4 linked regions of the Macaca mulatta genome follow. The protein of the gene in region 2 binds, or shares a complex with, the protein of the main gene of each other region. Links are inferred from orthologs where the notes say so. Each region holds a gene or a part of one and is shown on either strand. Other genes may lie near its edges.

What was found.
Region 1: CASP8 (region 2) and AIM2 share a complex: the UniProt entries of both Homo sapiens proteins name them as parts of the AIM2 PANoptosome complex. The link is inferred for Macaca mulatta from reciprocal best matches to the Homo sapiens genes CASP8 and AIM2.
Region 3: CASP8 (region 2) and RIPK3 share a complex: the UniProt entries of both Homo sapiens proteins name them as parts of the AIM2 PANoptosome complex. The link is inferred for Macaca mulatta from reciprocal best matches to the Homo sapiens genes CASP8 and RIPK3.
Region 4: CASP8 (region 2) and MEFV share a complex: the UniProt entries of both Homo sapiens proteins name them as parts of the AIM2 PANoptosome complex. The link is inferred for Macaca mulatta from reciprocal best matches to the Homo sapiens genes CASP8 and MEFV.

The regions. Positions count from the first base shown.
Region 1 is NC_133406.1:107,858,296-107,861,934, forward strand, and holds part of AIM2 (interferon-inducible protein AIM2), read left to right. Parts: intron 1-98; coding exon 99-232; intron 233-2,480; coding exon 2,481-2,900; intron 2,901-3,336; exon of another isoform or gene 3,337-3,639. UniProt on the Homo sapiens protein: Sensor component of the AIM2 inflammasome, which mediates inflammasome activation in response to the presence of double-stranded DNA (dsDNA) in the cytosol, leading to subsequent pyroptosis.
Region 2 is NC_133417.1:106,389,752-106,393,390, reverse strand, and holds part of CASP8 (caspase-8), read right to left. Parts: intron 2,007-3,639; coding exon 1,865-2,006; intron 1-1,864. UniProt on the Homo sapiens protein: Thiol protease that plays a key role in programmed cell death by acting as a molecular switch for apoptosis, necroptosis and pyroptosis, and is required to prevent tissue damage during embryonic development and adulthood.
Region 3 is NC_133412.1:97,456,341-97,460,740, forward strand, and holds the start of RIPK3 (receptor-interacting serine/threonine-protein kinase 3), read right to left. Parts: upstream 2,816-4,400; 5' UTR 2,597-2,815; coding exon 2,577-2,596; intron 2,368-2,576; coding exon 2,227-2,367; intron 2,093-2,226; coding exon 1,783-2,092; intron 1,331-1,782; coding exon 1,185-1,330; intron 1,059-1,184; coding exon 1,012-1,058; intron 805-1,011; coding exon 637-804; intron 527-636; coding exon 459-526; intron 244-458; coding exon 1-243. UniProt on the Homo sapiens protein: Serine/threonine-protein kinase that activates necroptosis and apoptosis, two parallel forms of cell death. Necroptosis, a programmed cell death process in response to death-inducing TNF-alpha family members, is triggered by RIPK3 following activation by ZBP1.
Region 4 is NC_133425.1:4,477,628-4,480,359, forward strand, and holds the end of MEFV (pyrin), read right to left. Parts: intron 2,521-2,732; coding exon 2,488-2,520; intron 2,347-2,487; coding exon of another isoform or gene 2,322-2,346; coding exon 1,768-2,321; 3' UTR 526-1,767; downstream 1-525. UniProt on the Homo sapiens protein: Involved in the regulation of innate immunity and the inflammatory response in response to IFNG/IFN-gamma.

The sequences.
Region 1 (3,639 bases), on a different chromosome or scaffold from region 2:
TTAATATGGTTTTAGTATTTATTTCTGGTGACATTTGAAAATGTGCACTGCTCATATGTTTATATGCTTATTGGCCATGTCTTCCATTTTTTAATCAGTTGATAAGGAATACAAATCGGTAACAAAACCAAAGCCACTAAGTCAACCTGAAATGAGTCCTGCTGCACCTGCAGCCGTCAGAAATGATGTCACAAAGCAACGTGCTGCACCAAAAGTCTCTCCTCATGTTAAGGTAGGATGAGGAGAGTGGAGTGGTCTTTGTCCTTGTAAGAGCATCACTGTCACTGTCATTTCCCACATTGTTCTCTGTTCTTTATCTCAGAGCATGCAAATAAGGGAATTAAGGCCACAGTGTGAAAAGCACTCTGAGTCACAAAAACAGGAACTACCTCTGATTAATCAGATTAAACACCTGTTGAGCTTCTAATCTCTGTCAGGGCCTGGACACATTAACACTCTGTTATGGTTTGGATTCTATAAGACGAAAACTCTGAGATAGACAGTTGTTTACAGGAAGTCTATTTTAGAGCACTTTCAGAATTAGTATCTGTGAGGAAGTGAAAGGAGTAGAAGAGGAAGAATGTCAAGTCCAATATAGTTGCAATAGAGGCCTTGGCCTACCCCACAGGGAGCTCGGGAGCTGAGAATGCCCTTCAGGGCTCCCAAGACTGGTGGGGGAGTCTGTGGTTTGCACAGACCCAGGCTCTGGGTCACATCAGAGATCTATTGCAGAGACTCTTACACTCGGCCTGGCATGCCTCTGTTTGTTTTCCCCTGTATTTTCCCTTAGTTCTTGACAGCAAATTGCTTTTTAAAAGTAATGTAAAAAAGCCCTTTATACACCTGCATGGACAAGGTGAGGTGGCCCTGTTTAGCTGAGAGAGTAGTGCCTGAAGAGTCTCATTGATGAGAATGATTACTTTAGTCCTGAGGGAGCGGCAGGCAATATCGGAAAGGCCCAACACAGAATCCACCACACATGCAATTTCATTTCCTGTGAAGCAGGTGTTACACCATTTTATAGCTGTGTGAGCTCTAGAAACTGATTACACATACTTCATTCTCTTTGTCTAGAGGAGCCATTTCCTCTGGGTTTGGCCCAGAAACTTCTGGATTTTTCAGAAAACAAGGTTCAAGTATACATGGTGTGATTCCATCACCAGTAATGAAAATATGCATCATTCAGTCTGGAAGACTCAACTAAAGATACATGGACCAAAGAGGACTTTTGTAGTGGAACTCAGTGGAACTGACCTTTACCTGCATTGATCCAAATGCAGTCAGTTATACTGCCCGTCAGGGCCCCTTACTGGCCCCAGCTCCACTGGCCCAAGCTTCAGGTCACATCGGAGACAGCCTTCGAGACTCCTACACTTGACTTTTTATGCCTCTGTTTGTTTTTCCCTGTATTTCCATTTGGTTCTAGATGGCAAGTTGCTTTTAAAAAGTAGTATTTTCTCCCAAAACAAACCAAAAAAGGTATCTTATCTCTGTTAATTCAGAAAAATAAAAAACACAGAGAAGCGAATAAAATTACCTATAATTGTATCATCTAGGAAAAAAATATTGATGTTGGTAAATATCTCTGTAGTGTGTTTGTGTGTGTGCTTTAACTGCTTATTTATCCAAAAAGAAAGAGATTTTTTATCTGTTTAGGACCTTTCCCTTTATTGAGTCAGTTATAACAGTTTATCACATTATTTCTCTAAAGCATTTTTAATATTTGCATAGTAATCTATTTGTGACTATACCATATTTTGTTTAACCAAATTCTATTTTTTATGTATTTAAATTATTTCTTTTTTTATAATTTCAAATAATAAGATATATTTTTAAAATGTAAACCTTAGTGCATAATTCATTATTTAAGGGTAAATCCACAAATGTAGTATCAATTCTCCTTTTAAATTTCTCCTTTAACTCACTTGTAAGATCTCTGACCTAGGTCTCCCCCTTAACTCACATTAAACATAGTCTACATTTTGTTACGTACAATACCTCCCTAGGAATTTGGGGAACCCTGTGCAGGTCACTGAGCTCTCTCACTTTTATACCAGAGTAAAATGAATGTTTAGGACAGTGTTGGATAGAGAAACAAGGATATATTATGCCCGAATGGAATCCATAGAAGATGGAATCAGATTTATCAGATTTACCCCGAGGCTTAGCAATATTTCAGAAATCTGATGAAGTCTTTTTATATAGCACATGGCAAAGCAAGGATTTGGTTTTAGGGATCCTTCCTCCAAAACATGTTACACCGTCTTATCTGAATACAGGAGTTGAAATCTTCCTTCTGCACTCTCTGTTCCATCTAGATCATTCTAGGCCTCAAGTCTCTTCTTATCCCCTCTGTGTCTCTTCCCTTGATTCCACCTGTCTTCTGTGGCTTCCTGAGGCTTAGCACTGTGGGTGAAGGAAGGTCCTCTCAATAGTACCTTTTTGACTCACAGCTGATATCTTTCTTCTCTTGTCTTCAGCCTGAGCAGAAACAGAGGGTGGCCCAGCAGGAATCTATCAGAGAAGAGTTTCGGAAAGACTGTTTGCCAGTTATGGTACTGAAAGCAACAAAGCCCTTCACGTTTGAGACCCAAGAAGGCAAGCAAGAGATGTTTCATGCTACGGTGGCTACAGAGAAGGAATTCTTCTTTGTAAAAGTTTTTAATACACTGCTGAAAGATAAATTCATTCCAAAGAGAATGATTATAATATCAAGATATTATCAGCACAGTGGTTTCTTAGAGGTAAATAGCGCCTCATGTGTGTTAGATGCTAAATCTGACCAAAAGGTTGATGTCCCGCTGAACATTATCAGAAAAGCTGGTGAAACCCCAAAGATCAACACGCTTCAAACTCAGCCCCTTGGAACAATTGTGAATGGGTTGTTTGTAGTCCAGAAGGTAAGTTTTCATAGCTAATTTCATATTGATTAGTAAGAATAACGTATTTTCCATCTGATCTTAAAGAGACTTTAGAAAAGGTGTTAATGTCTATACAGACAAAATAAAAAAATACAAAGTTCTAAAGAGCTGCAGAGTTAACATGCCAAAATTCATACGAAAACTCAAAAATTGTTTTTATTGTCAAAAATGTCACAATCCTGTTTCAACTTATTCTTATCCCAGTAGCCTCTGAAAAAGGAATTAGTTCGTTCACATAGTTTTTATTTCTGCGTTATTTTTGTACTTTGTCCATATTATCTTTATTTTAAGTGACTATTGTTGTGATTGCAAAATAAGTGTAGTTGAGTAATCAACCAAATTAATTGACCTGAAAAACCAATATGCAAGTCAGGATTAAAGAACTGTGATTAAATGAAGAAAACAGAAGAAAGAGTTAGCTTGAGGAGACTTATTTATTTCTTTCTTTTTAATTAAAAGTAAACTTTAATGTCGAAAATGCAAACTTGGGGAAGACAGAAAAGATCACATACAAGGCTATCACTTCACACTTGGAAGGTTCCACAGCGGCTGGCGCTCCTCACTTCCCAGACGGTGGGGCGGCCGGGCAGAGGCCCTCTTCACTTCTCAGACGGTGGGGCGGCCGGGCAGAGGCCCTCTTCACTTCCCAGACGGTGGGGCGGCCGGGCAGAGGCCCTCTTCACTTCTCAGACGGTGGGGTGGCCGGGCAGAGGCACTC
Region 2 (3,639 bases):
CTCGGCCAGGTGCAGTGGCTCACACCTATAATCCCAGCACCTTGGGAGGCCAAGGCGAGTGGATCACCTGAGGTCAGGAGTTTGAGACCAGCCTGACCAACATGGTAAAACCCATCTCTACTGAATACAATTAACTGGGTGTGGGTGTGGTGCACATGCCTATAATCCCAGCTACTTGGCAGACTGAGGCAGGGGAATTGCTTGAACCTGGGAGGCAGAGGTTGTGGTGAGCCAAGATCATGGTATTGTACTCCAGCCTGGGCAACAGAGTGAGACTCTGTCTAAAACAAAAAAAGTCAGTCTAGCATTAGGAATAGAACAAACAAAAACGGAAATGCAATTGTTGATTTGGAAGCACTTTGGCAAGACTAATACAGTGTGTTGGTTCTGTGAAAAAGTTCTGATCCTTTGGAAATGTGGAATGTTGATTTAAAAAATGACTGTAAAGCGAGTGTCAAGGCACTGAAGCAGGACAGAAGGGAGTCTCTCAGGAGAAATGACTTCTGCAGTGGGGTCTCCTACTTTTACTCATTTAGCATAAAACATAAGAACAGGAATAGAAAAAGCAGGACACACAGACTCGAATGCCTACCAGAGACTAGTCAATCATGGGCCAGTTATAAGAAAATGAACTGCCAGAAATAGAAGCAAGTGTTATTTTAATAGAAATGTTTTAATTTTAAAATAATACAAATCAAGGGCTCGAAATGTTTTTTTCAACACCAAGCACATAATGACGAATGATGTCATCAATGCACTTAATCTCTGTGCCTTTTTAAAGGCTTAGATTTGCTTAAATAAACAAATCAAATGTTAACATGGGCCAGGTGTAGTGGTTCACACCTGTAATCCCAGCACTTTGGGAGGCCGAGGCAGGAGGATCACTTGAGGTCAGGAGTTCAAGACCAGCCTGGCCAATATGGCAAAACCCCATCTCTACCAAAAATACAAAAATTAGCCGGGTATGGTGCTGTGTGCCTGTAGTCCCAGCTACTTGGGAGGCTGAGGCAGGAGAATCACTTGAATTGGGGAAGTGGAGGCTGCAGTGAGCCGAGATAGCACCACTGCACTCCAGCCTGGGCAACAGAGTGAGACTCTGTCTCAAAAAAAAAAAAAAAAAAAAAAAAAATGTTACTAGGGACCATTACAGAGTCCTGATGATTATAATCAGTCTACATTAATTTTCTAAACTTACCTCCATTTACAAAACAAATCAATAATTGATATTATGCCTGATGAACACTATTTTCAAAAGTTCTTTGATCAAATCAAAATTATTAATATCTCAATGGTGATGGATGATTTTTATTTTTTGTTGTTGTAGTCACTTTTTATATTCACATACTACAAATTGTTTTTTTCATTTAACTTGTAGCTTCTTGATCTTAGCTTAAATAGGCTGAGTAAAAGAACTGCTAACCAGTTTAATATTTAATACTTGAAAATGCTGTTTCTGTTAAGAACCCACAATTTCTGCTGCACTTAACAGCCCAACCTGTAAAAATGCAGCCTCTATAAGAGCTTTGATACCACGGCAGTTCCATCGCTTAATGCATTCCACAGAAGCACTATGCAGTTAGCTGAATTAAAAACAAAGCTTATTACTGCTTTTCATTGTGTCTTTTAGTAAGATTTGATATTTCATATTTATACATACATTGCTTCTATTTAAAAGATTAATTTTTTAAAAAGCAGGAAACCGACAAATGTATAAGAATGTTCTTTACCTCCACAGGGAAATATGTTTAAATCCATTTTCTTGAAACATGACTCTTTTGGTATAGCTTTTGTTCTCTGCCTTTTGATTTAAAAAAAAAATAGGCATAAGAAATATTTCACTTTTCTCTTTTGGGTTCTACTGTACCTGCATCCAAGTGTGTTCCATTCCTGTCCCTAATGCTGTGAAGTTTGGGCACTTTCTCCCGTGCTTTCGTAAAATCGTAATTGTTGATGATCAGACAGTATCCCCGAGGTTTGCTTTTCATTTGGTAAACTTTGTCCAAAGTCTGGAAAACAAAAACCCAACCCAGGAGCTGACTCTGTGGGTCAAACACTAGAGATGTAAACAAACAACTCCCTAGTAAGAGGACTTGCTTTCCATTGCACCACCCCAACTTGGGGTCGTTTCCTTGAAGAACTAGTTTCTACCTATTTCCTTCACACAGGACCCCTCAGACTTCTGCCCCATCACTGTAAAGTCAGTTTCCCAATACCTGGGCCTCCTGAGCACTTTGCACATATGTTAATATTGTTGTCATCATATTGTATTATTGTTTGTTCTCATTTCTGCTTCCCATACTATACAGAAAACTCCTTGAGGTCGATAACATCTGTGCCAGGGACTACGGTGTATTAACTTACGAGAGCTCAATCAAGAGTTACTCAATGAATGTCTTTGGTTGCCCCCACGCCATAACCTTGTGATTCTCTTGGCTGTCTACTGAACTCATCTGTGCTTCGTGGCTAACAGTCGAGGGTCTCCCATTCATGCATTGCACAGTGTGGTCCCAGGATTTTAAAGGTGATGGCTTAACCCAGCTCTCAGGACCACGGTGGCTGCTGGGAAGAGACAGGCTGGTCAGGCAGGTCCTGGCTACACTGTAGGTTATGGTATCCAAATTGTAGTATCTGACAGTACCTGCCAGGGATGGCCCTGTGTCCTATTCATTCTCCTAGGGCTGTTTCAGTGCTGAGATACTCAGCATTTAGTTGGAGGTTCACGTAGCCCCTTGAGGTAGAGAAAAGGGCTCCAGGCTAGGAAGCCCAGTTCCTGCCTCTACTTCACCTTATGACTTTGGGCAAGTAACCTGTTATTTTAATACATTAACTCTAAGATATTAAATATTTGATTAAGTTTGTACCAAATGTGTTAAGTTTGTATTATTTACTATTAAGTGTGCTAAGTATTTATTAAGCATATTAAGTGTATTTACTGAGATATTAAGACACTAAGATTTGACCAGGCATGGTGGCTAGAACCTATAATCCCAGACTTTGGGAGGCCAAGGCAGGAGACCTGCTTGAGGCCAGGAGTTCGAGACCTGGCTTGGCAACGTAGCAAGACCCCTGTCTCAATAAAACATTAAAAAAGGAAAAAGATACTAAGATTTACTAAGATACTAAGACAGTGTTTTTAGCTGTTCAGTGGGGACAATGCTTGCAGCATGCTATATTGCTTAGAAAGTACCACATTACTTGGGTTAATCCTTGACTTTCAGATGAAAGAGGTCTGGTAATTTTCTCAGAAGCCCATACCAGGCTCTCCCAAGCCTACTTCAGATATTCAGGATTTCCTCTTCTTCTTACCATGAGGACGAGCAAATGGGCTAATAAGTCGGGATGTATTTGGTGGATGGTTGGTTACATAAAGAGAAGTTATGATGCCTAAAAAGTACATGTTTCTGCTGGTTCACTGAGATGAAAACACAAAGATGGCTAGGTTATGAGAGTTTGCTGCTTACACCTAATCACAAAGGAGAAGCATTTTTGAAATGTTAAGTCAAACGAAAAGGCTTTGCTTTTTCCATTCCTGCTAGACTCTCCAAACCACTCCCCCATCCAGGCTGGCACGGCTGCTAGAAGATTTGGTAGGAGGCTTCTTACCCCCTCCACCTTCCAACTATTCCAGTATCTTCATCT
Region 3 (4,400 bases), on a different chromosome or scaffold from region 2:
TTGCAGAACCTGCTCCTCTTGTGCCCTGCTCCTCTTGGTAAGGCTCGGGTATTTTTCAGGAACAGAGCTGGGAGACCCCTCTAGATTCAGTTTGTTTAGCAGCTCAGAAACCATGACATCATTACGAGAGTGTTGGTTTCCTGTGGTTCTCCTAAAGCCATCCATTTCTGTCCCTCCTTGGCCTGACTCGGGGGTAGAAAATCTCGGATTGCTGCTCCTGAGCTCAGATAGGAAATTCTTTACCTGCAGGGATGGGAGGAGTTTGCTGGGTATGACTTGGATGAGCCAGAGTAAACCCAAGGGAGTAGTCTCTTGGAACTCAGGGGTGGGCTGGGGAGGGTGAGGACAAAGGTCAAGGCATAAAAAAGCTGTGGTTAATGGTGAGTCATTGGATGGCCAGGTAGCCATGTTGTGCCATCCCTGACCAGCTCCTGGAGAGGGGTGATGTTGGCGCTCACTGTGGAGACAGCAGCATTTATATTGTTCTCCACCATCTGGAAGGCTTCATCAGTTTTTGGTAGGCATTCTAGAGGGACAGCAGAGTGGGTTGCAGGTGAGCAAATCTTCTTTTCCTGAGGAAAGCCCCATGCTGACAGACCCAAGCTTACCCCAGATCCAGCTAATTGGCCAGCTCACCCTGGAAGGAGGGTCTGTCCTTGGGCTCACTGCTCCAGCAGAGCTGCATTAGCTCCTTCAGTCCTTCTAAGCCGGGAGTCTCAGGCCCAGCTTGGGGCAGCTCAGTCAATGAGGGCCGGGTCTGCCTCCTGCACACTGCTCCACACACCAGTGATGCTTCTGTTGGCACTGGAGTAGGGGAGGAGGGTGAGAAGAGAAGGCATTCAGGGTAAAAGGGAATATCTGCTCCATCATGGAAAGAGGCAGGGAGTGTAATGTGGGAGCACAAGGATGGAGGAGGGCAGTCTTAGTAGGTGAGCAGGAAGGGGAAGCTTTGGGGCTTTCAAGAGAAGGGCACCTGGGGTTAAGGATCCCAGAATCCGCCTAGAGTCTTACACTCAGCTTCTCTTCCAGCAAGCACTGCCCACATTAGGATCCCGAAGCTGCAGGAGACACAAAGCTGAGGACCAGTCCAATCACTGGCAAGACTCCTTTCCTATACATCACCCCCTGGGAGGGCCCAGAGAAGTGTAGGAATCCCGGCTGTGTGTTTGGGCTGGGATCCTTACCTGTAGACATCACTGGCTGTGGAGGCCTTCCGGTTTACATTAACAAACAGTTCTGGGGCCAAGTAGCCCAGGGTGCCCCCTGGCTCCCTGGATGCTGTCCCTGACTGTGAGCCTCCCTGAAATGTGGACAGGCCAAAATCTGCCAGCTGCAAAGGAAGGAAAGAAGTGGGAGGTAGGGAAGACAAGGGGGCCAGGCAGCCTCCAGAAACCCCCTTGCCCCCAGAAGGTTCAGGTTCAGCTTTGTAAAGGGAGTGTGGAGGTCAAGGGAAGAGGCTCCCTTGGATAGTAGATCTAGGTGCCTGTGGTAGGGCTGGGTCAAGGTGTGAGTCTCCAGGGCTGGGTCAGCCATGACTCTTTGGAGGGGTTGGTGGGGCAGCTGGTGGAAATGACTCGTGTGGGTCGGGGCCTCTATCACCTGGTATGGCAGGAGCTAAAACTCCTGGCTGGGCTTTGTGCCCTGGCAGCCCTGTGTCCAGAGGGAGAGGCTACGCCTATTCAATAGACAGGGCTCTGGAGGTCTGGTGTCCAGTGGGCCTGGCTGGAGCTGCTCTGGGGTGGGACCTTGTCCTGAGGCTGAGAGGGGTGTAGAGCAGCTGACCTTGACGTGCAGCTCTGGGTCCAGCAGGACATTGGATGGCTTGAGGTCCCGGTGCAGGAGCACCGGGTTCTGGTTGTGCAGGTAAAACATCCCAAGCACCACTTCTTTCAGCAGGCGGCAAAGCAGCGGCCAGGGCCTAGGGCACTCGGGCTGCAGCAGCCGGGACAGGGAGCCGTTCTCCATGAATTTAGTCACCAGAGCCGGCTTGGGCACGTGGTCCCAGTTCACCTTCTCGATGACCCCTTCTAGGCGCAGCACGAATTCGTTATCCAGACTTGCCATGGCCTTGACTTCCCTGGATATCGCCTTCCTACACTCCAGGAGAGAGCTGGAGTCACCCGGGGTCGTGGGAAAAATCCCTCCATTCCCCATTCAGGCCCCAGAGCACAGTGGCTCCACCTTTTTGGCCAGATTGCGGCCGGGGGGGCAACAGGGGTCACTCACGAGTTTACAATCTTGACCGCCACATCGTAGCCCCACTTCCTATATCGCGCCCGGAACACTGTGCCGAACCCGCCTCTGCCGACGAACTCCTGGTTTTCCAGTTCCTCGATGGACACCAAGGAGGCGGAGGCACCACTGGGCCTGAGACAGGGGTGTCGCCCACTAGCCGGCAGTGCCCTACGCCAGCGCTGCTCCCCGCGCCCCTGTGACTCGGCGCTCTTACTGCAATCCCCGGCCTCTCTCGCCGGCCCCCACCGTCTCCAGACTCAAAGGCGTTCTCTGAGCGAGTCCGTGGGGCGCTCTGGGTGTGAATGTCGGAGGCTGCGATCGACATGCCACTCCCTACTCACCATAACTTGACGCACGACATCAGGCTGGAAGGTGCGAGGGGGCCTCTGGAGATTGCGAGCAGTAGGAGATGGAATGACTTCTGGGGCTGCGGTCTTTGGCAGAGAGGGGAAGGGATCTGTCTCTGCAGGGATCAGTCTCTAGACCAGGACGGTGACTCCACTTTCCGGGTTGCTACCCGTATTCTGAGTTGACTGAACAACTTCCCTTACAGGCGCCTCTACAGTCCCGCCCCTGGGGTGGGGCAGGGGGCAAAGTGAAAGCTAGTGTCTTTCTCCCTGACTAGCGTTTCCTGAGTGCCTGCCGCATGCAGCGGCCAGGTTAGGTGTGGCAATGGGTCCTCACCTTCCAGGAACCCACAATCAACCCACTCCTACAGTCAAAGCCTTCTCTTTTCCCACAGGATTTCCTGCTCCACCACCTGCCAGGCCATGAGTGGAGATGGTGCTTAGGCAGGTTTTATGGTTTTGGGGCTCAGCTCTCTCATAGCTGCCCTAAGATCATAGCCAATGCATATATAAAACTTATCATGCACCAGGTACATAGATTAGCTTATTTAATTCTCACACGAACCCTAAGGGGATAGGTACTGCTTTTATTACCTTTCTATAGATGAGGAAACTGAGACACTGAGAGTTTAAGTACCTTGCCTAAGCCCATATGGAAATAATGGCTCTGAACCATCAAGTTATCCTGTTTTCACATCATAGGTTTCAGGGCTGTTTTCACATAGGTTTCACCTGTTTTCACACAGGTTGCAGGACCACTCAGCTGGTCCTGCAGGAGGCTGGGAAAGTTGTGAAGCATCCAACGATGTAGTGAAGGATCCCTATTTGTATTCCTTGGGACTTATATGTTCATAGGGACTTACATGCCCTATGAACAGGAGCTCCTTGAGCTGGCAGACCCCAAACCCACTCCAAGGGCATTGTGGTAAGGCTAGATATACCAGCCCATCCAGCAAGTTGGTGACATTGTGGTGTACACTGCAGTGGAAACAATTCAGAGCTTTCCTGCCCTCTCCTTTGCATGACAACTCTTGCATGCAAATACCCTAATTAATGTTCCTGACAAGCACATGCTCTGGACACAGGCTTTTGATAACCCAGAAGCATGGAGAGTCTTAAAGATTTAGGGCAGAAAAAAGGTGTCCATATTTTACCTTTTGGAGGTCTGACCATGACTGGAGGTTGTGGGAACCCGATAGGGCCAGCCCTAGGCACTCAGTCCTTCACAGGGATACTCAACCCTGTGGGTTGTGTGTTGGCTTTCACTAAAAGGTGCTCACCTTGGTACTTGCTTTCCATTTTGTCCAGTGGTCCATGGGCTCTTCTGGTTGAGGCAGAAGTGATCAGCAGTTTTTTCTAGAACAACTCCTGGAGAGCTACACCATGGCTTCTGGTAGGGTCAGCTCATGCTATTTTGGAGCTATTTAGGGAATTGTTCAACTGTAGTCTCTTTAAAAGCCAATACATGGCAGATACCCAATAAATATTTGTTGAATTGAATGAATAAATGAACAACCAAAAATATTAAGCCTCTTTTAAGGCACTGATCATCCTAGATGGAGCTCCATACTCAGTAGGAGGAAAGAGGAGATCGGGTTCCTATAGGGACTGAGGGCTCTCACCTGCACAGTTCATGAAATCCGTCTGAAGTAGGCTTTAGTATAGAGATATGGTGGTATCACACAGAATCCAAGAAGGCAAGAAGTGTAGCAGGTCCTCAGAAAAGCCTAGAGTCAGAAGCTGAGAACCATCAAAAGGGGTAGCCACTCCCTTTGTGATTCTTTTTGGAGAGAATAACCCAGGCTCAGTATCTCCACT
Region 4 (2,732 bases), on a different chromosome or scaffold from region 2:
TTTAATTGTGTCACTTCATTTAATGAGCACATGTCAATTTGGTAACTAAAAATAATAAAACCTTAAAAAAAAATAGAACAATAGGCTGGGCGTGGTGGCTCATCCCAGCACTTTTGGAGGCCGAGGTGGGCAGATCATCTGAGGTCAGGAGTTCCAGACCAGCCTAACATAGTGAAACTCCATCTCTACTAAAAAATACAAAATTAGCCGGGTGTGGTGGTGCATGCCTATAATCCCAGCTACTCAGGAGGCTGAGACAGGAGAATCGTTTGAACCTGGGAGGCGGAGGTTGCAGTGAGCTGAGATCGTGCCCACTGCACTCCAGCCTGGGTGACAGACAGAGCGAGACTCCATCTCGGGAGGCAGGAGGAGGAGGGGACGAAAAAAGAACGATAAAGATTTTTTTTTTAATTTGATGGAAAAAAAGAGCGATAAAGATTTTTTAAAACAATTGGATGGAATCCTGTTTTTAGAATCTAATCCGTAAAATAAATGACATAAATGGATTTGAAATGATACCATAAATTAAGGGTGTAAACACAATATATATCTCTATAAATGCCTTTTAACATGAAAAGATGGCTACAGTCACATGCAATTAAAGAAATGAAATTTAAAAGAATAATTACAAAAATAATATTCAGAATTCTGAAAGCAAATTAATACAATTATTTAAGAGGGCAATATGGCACTTCCTATTTTAAGAAGTAAACTTTGGCCGGGCGCAGTGGCTCAAGCCTGTAATCTCAGCACTTTGGGAGGCTGAGACGGGCGGATCACAAGGTCAGGAGATCGAGACCATCCTCGCTAACACGGTGAAACCCCGTCTCTACTAAAAAATACAAAAAATTAGCCGGGTGTGGTGGCGGGCGCCTGTAGTCCCAGCTACTTGGGAGGCTGAGGCAGGAGAATCTCTTGAACCCGGGAGACGGAGGTTTCAGTGAGCCAAGATTGTACTACTGCACTCCAGCCTGGGCAACAAGAGTAGTCTCAAAGAAAAAAAAAAAAAAAAAAGAATCATAGGCCGGGCGGGGTGGCTCATGCCTGTAATCCCAGCACTTTGAGAGGCCAAGGTGGGTGGATCACCTGAGGTCAGGAGTTCAAGACCAGCCTGGCTAACGTGGTGAAACCCCCATCTCTACTAAAAATACAAGAAAATTAGCCTGGTGTGGTGGCATGCGCCTGTAATCCCAGCTACTCAGGAGGCTGAGGCAGGAGGATCACTTGAACCTGGGAAGTGGAGGTTGCGGTGAGCTGAGATAGTACCACTGCACTCCAGCCTGGGTAACAAAGCAAGATCCCGTCTAAAAAAAAAAGTCATAGTTCATTAATCCAGGTACACAAATACTTCTATCCCAATCCAGTCTGCTTGTGTTTCTCTAGACTTCCCATGTCCTCAAGACAAAAGCAGAGAGAACCAGGGGACATGTCCTTGCCGTGGGGTTCTGAGGGAAAATGAGGGCCAAATCTTCTGTTCAGGAGCACCTGAGAGTACCATTCACCAGGGATGGATTATGCAACGACCCTGTACTTCCTCCTCTGAAATCCATGGTGTGTCATCAGTACACTTCTTTAGCGGATTTACTAATACGTTCGTTCCTAACTTAGCTCTGCTACAATCGGGGAGGCTCCATGGGCACAGTAACTATTTTGTTATTCGTTGCATTTCCTGTAGCAGCTGGCACCCAGGCGGCATTCCGTGACTGTTGAGTATGTGAATGCAAGATACAAGGCCAGAAGCTGGAAGAGAGATGCAGTGTTGGGCATTCAGTCAGGCCCCTGACCACCCACTGGACAGATAGTCAGAGGAGCTGTGTTCTTCCCTCCATCATGTGTCCCAGGGCTGAAGATAGGTTGAAGGGGCTCAGAGAAACAGCAGCTGGTGAATGTATAGATGCAGGATCTGGCTGTCACGTTGTAAAAGGAAATGCTTCCAACTCTGTAGTCCACAAAGATGCCCACACGCTTGGGAGGCACCTTTATTAGCAGGCGGGTTGGGGGAACACTGGATGCCTGGTACTCATTTTCCTTCATCATTATCACCACCCAGTAGCCATTCTCTGGTGACAGAGTCATGTTCCCTTTCCTGCTTATGGATGCCTTGCAGGCTCCTAGGATCCACGCTGTCTTGTCTCCGACCTCCACCTCCCAGTAATGATGGCCGGAGAGGAAGCTCGGAGAGCCCAGAACAACGATGCAGCTGTCAAATCTTTGCGGGCCATCAGGCAGCCTCTCCCGCTTGTTTCCAAGTCTAACACTCTTCAGATCATCAGAGACGATGAGGTTGGGGTAAGCGGTTTCTGCATCCAGAATCACATTAACTGCAAAGAAAATTTGAATACCTAGCTAGGGGTCCGTAGGCAACATCCCTACAGGGTTATCCCCACCTGCAGGAAAACAGGGACAGGGCAGTTATTCTCGAACGTGGTGGGGGAGAGCACAGGGATCCAGCAGGTCAGGGCCACTTGCCTTGATCTGGGCACTTACCGGCATGTGCCTGAGCGCCAATCAGCTCTGGAACTACAGAGAAAAATGAGATAGGGAAAAAAGTCCTGAGCATTTGTATTCAGAGGGGCTAAATTACAATGTCCCGACAACAAGGAGACGCAAGGAACCCCCTGCTTAGGGCCCTGCATGCTATGTTGGGTATAATCCCGTTCCTCCCAGGAACCCAGGTCATGTTGGGAACTGTGGTCTAATGAGTCAGCTCAGCCAGTGAGTCATGCAGTCAT